Linked DNA regions of Callithrix jacchus. The protein of the gene in region 1 purifies or fractionates together with the protein of each later gene. This does not show direct contact. Links are inferred from orthologs where the notes say so. Each region holds a gene or a part of one and is shown in the gene's direction. Other genes may lie near its edges.

Evidence for each region.
Region 2: the proteins of EPS15L1 (region 1) and ITSN1 purify together in Homo sapiens (affinity purification with mass spectrometry; 4 studies listed by BioGRID and IntAct, with this or other methods). This does not show direct contact. The link is inferred for Callithrix jacchus from reciprocal best matches to the Homo sapiens genes EPS15L1 and ITSN1.
Region 3: the proteins of EPS15L1 (region 1) and ITSN2 purify together in Homo sapiens (affinity purification with mass spectrometry; 5 studies listed by BioGRID and IntAct, with this or other methods). This does not show direct contact. The link is inferred for Callithrix jacchus from reciprocal best matches to the Homo sapiens genes EPS15L1 and ITSN2.

What each region holds. Positions count from the first base shown.
Region 1 is NC_133523.1:15,035,828-15,039,473, reverse strand, and holds part of EPS15L1 (epidermal growth factor receptor substrate 15-like 1), read left to right. Parts: intron 1-1,663; coding exon 1,664-1,821; intron 1,822-3,646.
Region 2 is NC_133522.1:39,846,235-39,849,880, forward strand, and holds part of ITSN1 (intersectin-1), read left to right. Parts: intron 1-1,485; coding exon 1,486-1,748; intron 1,749-3,646. UniProt on the Homo sapiens protein: Adapter protein that provides a link between the endocytic membrane traffic and the actin assembly machinery. Acts as a guanine nucleotide exchange factor (GEF) for CDC42, and thereby stimulates actin nucleation mediated by WASL and the ARP2/3 complex.
Region 3 is NC_133515.1:90,872,090-90,876,426, forward strand, and holds the start of ITSN2 (intersectin-2), read left to right. Parts: upstream 1-1,418; 5' UTR 1,419-1,582; intron 1,583-1,832; exon of another isoform or gene 1,833-2,064; intron 2,065-2,575; exon of another isoform or gene 2,576-2,804; intron 2,805-4,337.

The sequences.
Region 1 (3,646 bases):
TATCCCTTCTTTCTCAAGTTTGCTTTCTGAATTCCCTGAGTTTGTATCAGAAGCCTGTTAGATCTGGACATCACAGGAGACTTGTTCATGAAGAGTAAATGAGTTTATCCATTGTTTCCCAGCCTTGACCATGAGTCCTTTCTCCTCCTAATCCTGTGGACATCTTCGGGTTGGCAACACTGTGAGAACTCTTTAAGAGATGGAGTCTTCCTCTGTCGCCCAGGCTGGAGTACAATGGCATGATCTTGGCTCACTGCAACCTGTGCCTCCCGAGTAGCTGGGACTATAGGCATGCGCCACCGTACCTGGCTAATTTTTGTATTTTTAGGAGAGGCAGAGTTTTGCCATTTTGTCCAAGCTGGTCTTGAACTCCTGGACTCAGGTGCTCTCAGCTAGCCTCAGGAACGGAACCAGCCTCAACCTCAACCACCTTGGCCTCCCAAAGTGCTGGGATTATAGGTGTGAGCTACTGCACCTGGCTTAGGAAATCCTTTCATAACTAAGAGGAATGACTTTGAGTGGCAGTTTCAGGCATCATGGCATTCACTGAAGGTGAAGTGTGGGTGGCGCTTTTCTGTACAGTCGCTGGAGGAGGAACGATGGAATCCTCCAGCCGTATATGCCCTTCCTTTCTTTCCTTCATCATCTCAGGTGTTTATTCTCATTGCTATTATGAGATTGTTTAAAAGGAGTGATTTGTATAAATACGACAAAAAAAAAAACAAAAAACGGGAAGAGGAAAAGCATGTCTAGAGTTCAGAACACAGATTCCGTGGACTGTGGTGTGATGGGTATGTTGGAGGCCCCGCGGCGATGCAGGCAGAGTGGGCCACAAAAGGGGCCTGACCCTGAGTGCTGAGGGGCCTTGATGCCTCTGAACCAGGAGGTGACCAGGCCCTGGTTGACCCACAATGGCGTTTGCATCTCTCAGGCTAACTGTGAGCTGGTGGTGAGGGGCTGCAGGTGCAGCAGGTGGCCCAGCCCTGGGGCTGTGAACCTCAAGCTGCACTGGGCTCGTGGCTCCGTCTGCCCTGGCAGGGTTGAGGCTGCGTGAATGGTGGTGGGGCCTTGTGGGTGGTGGCCCTTTTGGATGGTGGGATCTTATTTGTTACCTGTCAGTGATGTGTGTGCCCTGACATCTTGGGGGGGGGGGTTTGTTGTCTCAGGATTGAGGTCAGGGATGTAGAAGGGTGTTCTAGAGAGTCCTGGGATGGGTTGCTTGGCTGCCTGCAGGGAAGCCTCTGCGGGTGGAGGAGCAGGAAGTCCAGGGAGGCTGGCCTGTGGCCATCCTGGCTCTAAGGGGATGGTCCTTCCAAATGAGAGTGCTCGAGAGGGTCTTTCCTGGCATGCTGGAATCCATCACATGAAGATCACAGCCTCCCTCACGCCCTGGGTGGCAGGGTGATGGATAAGGACAGTGGGTAATGGGGTGCAGAGAGGCACAGACTGGTGTCTGGGTGAGCTTCTCAGAGCCAGCTTCAGCCTATCTCCGCATCAGTTTCACTACTTACAGAACAAAGATACTGTCTGCCCTCTTAGCTCATGGAACTGAGGAGACTTTGATGCCAAATGTGCATGGAAATGCTTTAATCACCTGTCATCAAAAATCATGTGTGTGTGGGTCATCAGAAGCTTCCGGATTAATCGCCAAAAACTGTTTTAGCCAACAGTTAACTGGGTGGTGCCCGTGGCTGACAAGATGCGATTTGATGAGATATTCCTGAAGACCGACTTGGACCTGGACGGCTATGTGAGTGGCCAGGAGGTGAAGGAGATCTTCATGCACTCGGGCCTCACCCAGAACCTTCTAGCACACATATGGTAAGGCCGGACAGGTGGCCATTGTGGCTGTGGGTGGCTCCAGGGGGCCTGTGGGTGGAGACCTGTGGGGGGTGGTGATCAGGGGGCCCCCCTTCAGCTGTTGCAGGCTTCTGCTGTGTCTGGCGTCCTTTATTCTCCCTGGCCTGACAGAGGCTGAGCAAAGTGCATGTGCCAAAGCTCAAAGCCTGCACTCCGTGCTGGTCAGTTCACGGTCTTCCGCTAGGAGGGGCCTCTGACCCCTCTCAAGAGCTCCTAGGCCATCTACTTACATAGCTGGGCCTTCTTCTTACTGGCCATGATGCTGGTTCTAGCAGGAGGCCTGGTCTTGGCCACAGCTGCCTTTGGGAAGTGTGGGCAGCAGGGCCGTGGGGCCTCTAGCAGGGTGACCTAGGCAGCCAGGGCTGCTGCTGCCTCCCATGGGAGGCCCTGCTCTGGAAAGGTCAGTGCCTTGGCTCCCGGCAGGAGGATGAGCATAGGGAGACCCTGTCTGCACCTCAGGGCCCAGTTGAGGAGCCGACCTCACCCCTGCCTTCCCCAGGGCTGGACACAGCCGGCATCCTAGGGCTAGGGCACTCCTCTTGCCGTTGGCCAGGGCTGAAGTCAATTTTGAGCTTGTTGCTCAGAGCCTTGTGGCCTTAGAGAAGGCTTCACTTGGGAGAATTGCCAGATAATTCTCAAGAGGCAAATCCTCCCAAGCAGAGCAGTAAAATTCAGGGTGTTGCTTAGTGGTTTGGGAGAAATGACTGTCCTTAGTGGTGGTTCACAGATGACCACACTGTGAGGTGAGAGCCTGAGAACCTGCCATCCCAGAGGTGTCACCCAAATGGCCAAGCCGCCTCCCTTGGACCCACTGTCCCTTTTAGAAACCAACAAAACACAGTGTTCCCTTTATGACTCTGCATCCAACACACACACGATTCCCATTAGTGCCCTGACACCCCAACTGTGATGTCAAGGGGGGAGTACAGGGAAAGTAATTTGTAATGCATGCTGCAACTGGTGCATGATATAGCGACATGGAAATGACACAGGAAGTGACGAATCCACCTGGATCAAAAGGAGGAACTCAGACCTCATTCCATGCGGCCAGCAAAGGGGAAGGAAAGGATGATCGAGCTCTAGAATAAACAACCATGAGGAAAGAAGTCTAGATGTGTCTGCGGGTGGCTGGGGCGGGGGCATGGCCCACTGTACACGACATACCAGGGGGACTGGAAGGAGCGGGAGCGTGAGGACGGAGGCTTTGTCTCTGCAGTGGCCGGCAGCGTACGGGTCAGCAGAGCAGCATGTGGTGTCAGAGCTGGATGGCTGATGACTGAGCCACCCCCAAGCCTGCTTCTTCGTCTTTCTCTTGGAACCCTCCACAGGAGATGGCAGGAGCAGAGAAGGGGCGGGAGTGGAGAGGCAGCCGCTGCTCCTGAGCAGGCTTGGGCCCGTGGGGGCAGACTGGGGAGAGACAGTGGCAGTGTGAAATCGTCACGGCCTGGAACTGTGGGGGCCACTAGGCATTTTAAAGCAGCCTTTATCCACAATGTTCCTTGAGGTCTGCTCAATCTCCGCAGTTGTGTTAACAGACTGCATTTGGGCATCAAGCCCCAGCTCTCTTTTGCCAGAGGGGGAATCTGTCATGGCTTCTGCCGTGGCGACATGGGAGGTGGGAAATGAGTCCCACGTTGAGAGGGTGACCTGGGTGAAAGACATTTTTCACAGATGCCAAGGCCTAGTCCTTACTCCACAAGGGTACCTTTCCTTCCTGGCTGGCTCTTTTTTTTTTTTCCCCCCCGCCTAAAGACAGAGACTCACTCTGTTGCCCAGGCTGGAGTGC
Region 2 (3,646 bases), on another chromosome or scaffold:
CTTCCGTCCCTCCAGCCCCTGGCAACCACCAATCTGCTTTCTGGGATTTACCTATTGTGGATATATTATACAAATGGAAGCATATATGACCTTTTATATCTGACTTCTTTCACTTGGCACAATATTTTTGAGATTCATCTCCTTGCAGCATGTATCATAACATCATCCCTTTCTGTGGTAGAGGGACTTTGAATTTTTTTCTTTTGAGATGGGAGTCTGCTCTTGTCACCCAGACTGGAGTGCAGTGTTATGATCTCAGCTCACCGCAATGTCTGCCTCCTGGGTTCAAGCAATTCTCCTGCCTCAGCCTCCCAAGTAGCTGGGATTACAAGTGCCCAGCTAATTTTTTTTGTATTTTTAGTAGAGACAGGGTTTCACCATGTTGGCCAGGCTGGTATCAAACTCCAGACCTCAAGTGATTTGCTCGACTTGGCCTCCCAAAGTACTAGGATTACAGGTGTGAGCCACAGCACCTGGCCGGGACTTTGAATTTTAAGATATCAGAGTAGAGAATATCGCCTCCTCTGAAATCACCAAAGATGTAAGAAGAGCAAGGAAACCAAAACATACTTGTGCTCTTTGATCTCTAATCATTGACTACAGTACGTGAAGAAAGTCTGTCAAAAGCAGTGAAGTCCAAACAGGAGTGTGGGAAGAAGCCAAAGAAGGATGCTCACAGCTGCAGGTCTCAAGGCAGAGGGAGAGACGATGGTTCCTAGATAGACATGTCCCAGGGCCTGGCATCCTGCACAGGCCAGCAATGAGTGCTCCCCTGACTGGGATTGGTACCAAGGAGGATTGTGTGAGGCCAACATGGAAATGAAATAGACACTGCTGAGGATAGTAATGATGGAATTATAGAAAATGAAGAAATAAAATGGACATAAACAAAGTATTAGAGAAAAAAATGATAGAACTGAGTAATTATTCTAAATTTATAATTGACGTGTCAAAGAAGGAAACTGAATAATGAGTTAAAATTGTTGACTGACTATGATCTCCATAAGGATCAGGGCAAAGCTTGTTCTTCAGTGTGAAAAGCGGAATGCTCACTTTTTGCTCTGCTTTGAGAAATCTTGTTAGATTAGAGGACTCATTGGCACAGTTATAAGGCAACGGGAAGGAGAGAGAGAGGCAGAGACTCATGGTCCAAAAGAGTGGGGGTTAATTGCTAGGGCAAGCTCATGGGAAGAAGGGAGAGGATGGAGTAACAGGGAAAGAAAGGAGTCTGGGTGATGATATAGAAGGTGATGATGCTAGATAAGGATCTTTTACAAACAGTGTTTGGCGTGGAGGAGAGAGGATATAAGCAGAGAGGTTGTGCAAAGGGCATTTTCGTTGTGCTCATTAACAAGGGCACAGAAGCTTAGGGAGTTCTGGGCCTGGTTTTGTTCTACAGGTTTCAAAAACACTAGTGAGTTTTCCTTTGAAAAGAGTGTGTTGAAAATCATGAGTTTTCATAGTTGCTGTGTTCCTTGTCTGAAGTAACGTTTGAAGATAAGAAGCGGGAGAACTTTGAACGTGGCAACCTGGAACTGGAGAAACGAAGACAAGCTCTCCTGGAGCAGCAGCGCAAAGAGCAGGAGCGCCTGGCTCAGCTGGAGCGGGCAGAGCAGGAGAGGAAAGAACGTGAGCGCCAGGAGCAAGAGCGCAAAAGACAACTGGAGCTGGAGAAGCAACTGGAAAAGCAGCGGGAGCTAGAAAGGCAGAGAGAAGAGGAGAGGAGGAAGGAAATTGAGAGGCGAGAGGTAAGCAGGCCAGAGTGGAGCCACCCCAAGTTAGTGTGTGATCATCCCCTTTCAGAATTATCCAAGTGATCTATTCATGCCATCTTTGTCTTTCTTTTTATAATGCAGTGGTTTTAGTATATTCCCAAAGTTATGCAACCATTGTCCTGGTCTAATTCCAGAACATTTTCATCACCCCAGCTCTTACCCATTAAGCAGCTAGACCCATTTCTTTCTCCCTCCAGCTCCTATCACTAATTTACTTTCTATCTCTCTAGATTTACCTATTCAGGACATTTTTTTTTAATAAAAGGAATCATCAATATATGGTCTTTTGCTTCTGACTTTCACTTAGCATAATGTTTTCAAGGTTCATCTACATTGTAAAATGAATCAGTCCTTTATTCCTGTTTATGACTGAGTAATATTTCATTATATGGATATACCATTTAATTCATGTGTTTTAATTCATCACTTGATGGTCGTTGTGGCTATTACAAACAATGCTGTTATGAACATTAATGTACCAGTTTTTGATGATACAGTTTTGTAATAAACCACTGATAACGGTGTTTTTCTGGACTGTTTTCTCTGTATAAATCTATATAAAAATATAAATGTTTTTATGGTGGAGAGCGTAAGGATTGTGTGTATACATATATATATTTTGAGACAGAGTCTTGTGCTTTCGCCCAGGCTGGAGTGCAGTGGCACAATATCAGCTCACTGCAGCCTCCACCTCCTGGTTCAAGCGATTCTCCTACCTCAGCCTCCCAAGTAGCTGGGATTACAGGCGCACGCCACCACACCCAGCTAATTTTTTTTTTTTGGTATTTTTAGTAGAGATGGGGTTCCACCATGTTGACCAGGCTGGGCTCCTGACCTTGTGATCTGCCCACCTTGGCCTTCCAAAGTCCTGGATTACAGGCATGAGCCACCGTGCCCAGCCAGGTTGTATAATTTTTTAAACACCACTGTAATTGTGTCATACCAATTACATTGTTCGGCAACCTTCTTTTTAAACTCTTTTAAAAATATTTCTGGGACATCCTATATTCTATGGAAGGCTTCATAAATTTAGCCCCATACCTGGAAAGGGGCTGAGCCAATCTTATCTCTCTTTCCAGTTTATTATGTTACTGCAGAAGCAACACATGGTTCTCTCATGTGAATGAAATATAAAAATGAGGAATTTTTCATTATAAAAAAAATAGCCTGAGTACCATGCCTCAAGCCTGTAATTCCAGCACTTTGGGAGAATAAGGAGGAAAGATCACTTGAGGCCAGGAGTTGGAAGCCGGTGCGTTCTAGGCTGGGTAATGGAGCAAGACCCTGTCTCAAAAGAAAGAAAACTTTTAGCCATAACTCCCTTTTGTTCAGACAGATAGTAACAAAATTTTAATTTTCAGAATGGACAAGCAAAGACAGGCAAACATTACTTTAACGTACAAAAAAAAGATATTCTAGAGTATTTATTCAAAATTATTAATAGACATTTACCAGGTGTACATTGCCAGGTGTAGTTGGAAGACCCATGAGTCAGAGGCAATTCTGATAAACTGTCAGGTGCTCTGATATGTACTCTACCTAACAGTCCTCAGAGCCGGTGTTGGAGAGGGCTAAAGCTTTTGTGGTAAAAAGGAAATGAATGATTAGGAAGGGGGGAGTCACAAACTTTAAAATGAATTAAATAATAATTTCTCCTTTGGTGGAATAAAATCAAGTTTTGTTTGTTTTTGTTCAGGTGTGTTTTAGTTTGATTCTACTAGGTGAAATTTTCCTTCTCAGTGTGTCAGTAAATAAGGAGAACTTTTAGTTAGCACATCAAGCATTCTTGAAGACATAAAGAATGGAATTCTAATGGAAAAATGATTCTGTCAGTTCTCTTCTTACATAAATAGAATAGCTAGTTCTATATA
Region 3 (4,337 bases), on another chromosome or scaffold:
AAATGAACACTGGCTATTTGCCTAACAGGAATAAAAAATAGGTTTTACCTCTCAGGCCGACTCTCTGGAGCACTATGTTGAGAAGGATTCTGGGGCCTTGACTCTCAAATATGAGCCCCAAAAGCGGGTATCAGTTAACTGGTGAAGTCTGCAATGGGAATGAGGCCATGTGCTCAAGATTGCTGTCCTTGGCCTGGGTGGTTTGTTTGCAGATGAGGACAGATTGGTTGGTCCCCAGCAAGTGAGGGGACTCCTAGACTGATAGAAGAGTCAGGCCTCTCTGTGTCACTGAAGCTCAGGACCTGTCTGTCAGGTCTCAGTCAGGTTCTAATCAAAGACTTAGGAAAAACACTGAGTGTGAGAGCGGGACAAGCCTGTTTATCATCATCAATGTTTGCTAAATTCCTTGTGAGCTGGCTGACCAGTTCAGATAGGCCTGGATTTGCAGCCCTCTCACCTTCACCTGCCTCAACAGGTAAGGAATGAGAAGATGCCATGGGGCCATTTGATCTGGCTCAAGACATTATCTTACTCAAGGAGAAGAAAATGTCAATACTAGAAAAAAATAAAAAAGCCTGGCCAGACTGGACCAAGCAATACAAAATGATCTGATCCACTGTATATTTTAAATTAAAACACTGTTGCTATCTAAACCCAGAAGAGCATGGCCTGTGTTTCTCTAACAAAGATCAAATCATGGGGATACCAGTTTTGGATGCTGGACCCGCCCTCGCCCTCCTCCTAAAAGCCAAAGAAATCTTGGGTCTTGGCCAGGTGTGGTGGCTCATGCCTGTAATCCCAGCACTTTGGGAGGGTGAGGCAGGCAGATCACGAGGTCAAAAGATCGAGACCAGCCAGGCCAACATGGTGAAACACTCTCTACTAGAAATACAAAAATTAGCCAGGCATGGCGGAGGGAAGGAAGAAGGAAGGAAGAAGGAAGGAAGGAAGGAAGGAAGGAAGGAACCAACCTTGGATCTTACATTCCAAAATCTTGAGTCTTACATTTGGTTATGTTCATTAGGAAATACTAACTCCTACCTCACCCCAATCAAAAGAAAGCCTTTCCCTTAAAGGAGAGCCTGGTGAAGGGCAAGACCAGGAACTGGGAGGGGAGAAAAAGGAGACACATTCTGAGTTTGAGCTAAAACTGTTCCTTGGCTATGGGGTGGGGAAGAAAGTTGAGCTTTGGCGCTCTCTGGGCACAGAGTCTTCCTGCTGCTCCTGGGAGTGTGAATAGGGTAGAGGGTGCTCCCCGGGGACGCTCTGCGTGTGTCAGGAGGAGGGCAAAGGTTAGTGAATGGATGACCCTCAGGTATGATGAAGTCCTTCAGATCCCAGAGAAGGGTTGAAGAGGCAATAGAACCTCCTTCCCACCTTCCACCCCCCAATTCCCAGAGAACTCGTGCCCCCAGATCAGTGGAGCAAATTTCGGCGAGTGCGAAGGTTCCAGGGAAAGCCCCGTGTGGGTGCAACAGGGATGTGCCAGGCACTGCTTGGCACTTTCCAAAACCCCGGGGTCTGTCGTGGCAGGAAAAGCACCACCCAAGCTTAGCATGTCACCTCAGGGAGGAGGAGCCAGGTGGGTCTCCGCAGCTCCAGGAAGGGCTGCCAGGTCTGGGGCTTCGGGGCTTCCCCGAGGGCAGAGAGGAGCACTTCGGGCCCTAGCGATTCCGAGCCGACCTTCAGGGATCAGTGCTCCGGAACTCCGGGGGCGAGGAGCCACGCCCGGGCAGTTTCGGGCTCCCGAGGGTGGGGAGTCGGTGCCCGGCAGCGGGCGGGCCGTCTGCTGCCCGGCCCGGCGCCTACCTCCCCGCCCCCCGGCTTCCTGCGGAGGCCGCGGCCGCCATGTTGTTGTGGGGCTGAGGCGGCGCCCGCGGAGCCCAAGCGGCCGTGACAGGCTACGCAACAGGTTCGCTGGCGGCGGCCTGACGACCAAGCCGGCTGCAGCGGCGGCGACGGCGGCAGAGCAGGGTCTCCCAGCGCCTGCCCGCTCCCAGGTTGCTGGTGCCGAGGAGCGCGAAGTCGCGCTGTGACGTGAGGGAGGAGCGGCGAAGGCGCCAGGTGGGTGAAGCTGCTCGCGGGGCTGCCGCAAGGCGAAGGGCAGGTGCGGACGCTGCGCCCGCCGCCTCGAGGCTCCGCGGGTTGGGCTGAGGCGGCTGCGCGCTCCGCACGACGGGGACGGGTCCTCCGGAGTACGGAAGGCCCCCGAGCTAGGCCCCTAGCGGGCTCGGCGGCGGCGGGCGGAAGCCTCTGGCCCCGGGTTCCTTCCCTTGCCGCCGGGCCGGGGCGGACGCCGAGGGGGCCTGGGCTGGGCTTCCCCTTCCTTGCGGCCGAACCCCGGCCCCCGGTCGCGGCCTCGTCTGGCAGGTGGCGGACGCCGGCGAGGGTCGGGGGCGGCGTGGCCCCTAGCTTTTGGGGTGCGAGCAGAAGAGAGCTCTGGGGGCACCCGCACGTCTCCTCGGGGACCCATTTTATTTTCGCGGAGTTGGTTTTCCTTGCTGGCAAGGGTTGGTGCGGAATGTCAGGTGAGCCGCATCCCGGTGCGTCAAAGTAGCCCGAGTCACGAGAGGCCAGTGGGCGGATGCTTGGCGTCCACGGCTCGCGTTCCGCGGGAGTTGGAAATGTTAAAATTTACCTTCAGCGTTATTGACTTCCAGGGTATACAGGAAGCACCGAGCGATATAATTTCTCAGGACAGATAAAGTTTATTGCTTTTTGTTTGTTTTAAAGACGTCTGCATGTGCATAGCGAATGGGTAAACCGAGGCTGAAACTGCAGATGGCTTTGCATTCTGTAGAAAGGTAATCCATTGGGATTTATTAATTATGCCCTTTGTCGCTCCAGAATTACCAATGGCAAGTGTGCTTTGTTTGAAACTTGTGTTAATAATGAAATAGGAATATTTTTTGATAGAGCCACCCCTTTATGATGGGAATTGTTAGCAGAGAAATAACTTGCTGTGCTTCACGCTTCTGGTTTGTTTCACTAGTGTTTGCTTGCTTACTCAGAAATAGGCAAGGTGTGACTTGAACTTTTGTGTTTGTTAGTCAGCTCAGTTTAGGTAGCATAAGCTCTTGTAGGTTAAAGCTTCTTAAGAGTTTCAAAAAATTAATTGCCTCTCTCTCTGTGCTAGTTTGCTATATTGTTAATCAGTGATAAAACCCAAAACCTACCTAGAAACATCAGATAAAACATTTACGTGAATTAATGACATCCCTCAAAATTTAAAGATACTGACAACTCTGATGTGTTCACCTTTAGGTTTTTTTGGCCGTGCCTGTGATGCTCTTGTAATTTAAAAAGTAAAGTGGATGTATTTTATGTTTTTGAAAATGTGGAAGAATGTGCATTGTAGTATTAATAAGTAGTTGAAAAGCTTGCATTTTTTCACCCTTCCATGCATTGATAACTATTCCCTGTGCTCACCTTTATAATAATGACAGGTAAACTCGTCGGAGAAAACTTGACCTGTACAGAACTATTGAGCAGGGAGGTACCATTGTTCAGTACATCTCAAGGCTAAAATCTTGATCTCTCCTGAATATGAGGAGGTGTGTTAGGCGTGTTCTGGGGATTGGATTAATAGTGTTACAAAATTGGTATTTTCACAAAAATAGCATGTACCCCAACCATAAGTCAAACTCGGCAGCTTTCAGCAAGCTTTTCTTTTTTCTTTTAAAAAATCATTTTACCTTATATAGTCAGTATATCTTTTTTTAAAAGTAGAAAATTCCTTATGAAACCTTAGGATTTTTAGTTTTAATGTATTGTAGAGTGTCACAAATGTCCATCTTCAATAAGACAAAAGGGTCACATATTGGCTGTATCCTTCAACTATACTTTCTTCAGTATTAAAATATGTTTACCATGGTTGTCATTTATCAAAACTGTAACTGCATGTTAAACTCTGTGCTGTTTTACATAATCATTTAAAGCTTACTAAGACCCTAGGAGTAATTATTATTCTCTCATCAAAAAGATAAGTGAAATGTAACCTGAAGTTTAACTGACAACTCTAGGTCTCTGAGCTAGTAAGTACAATAGCCAGATAGCCAGGTTTCAAGCCAAGATCCTTTTAACTTCAGCACCTGGGCCTTATCTGGTATAGTCATCTTGGTTCATAACTTTTAAAAAGAGTTATATGGGCCTGGTGCAGTGGCTCATACCTGTAATCCCAGCACTTTGGGAGGCCAAGGTGGGTGGATCACGAGGTCAGGAGTTCGAGACCAGCCTGGCCAATATGGTGAAACCCCCATCTCTACTTAAAAAAAAAAACAAACCCAAAAAATTAGTTGGGCATGGTGGTGCACCCCTGTAGTCCCAGCTATTCAGGA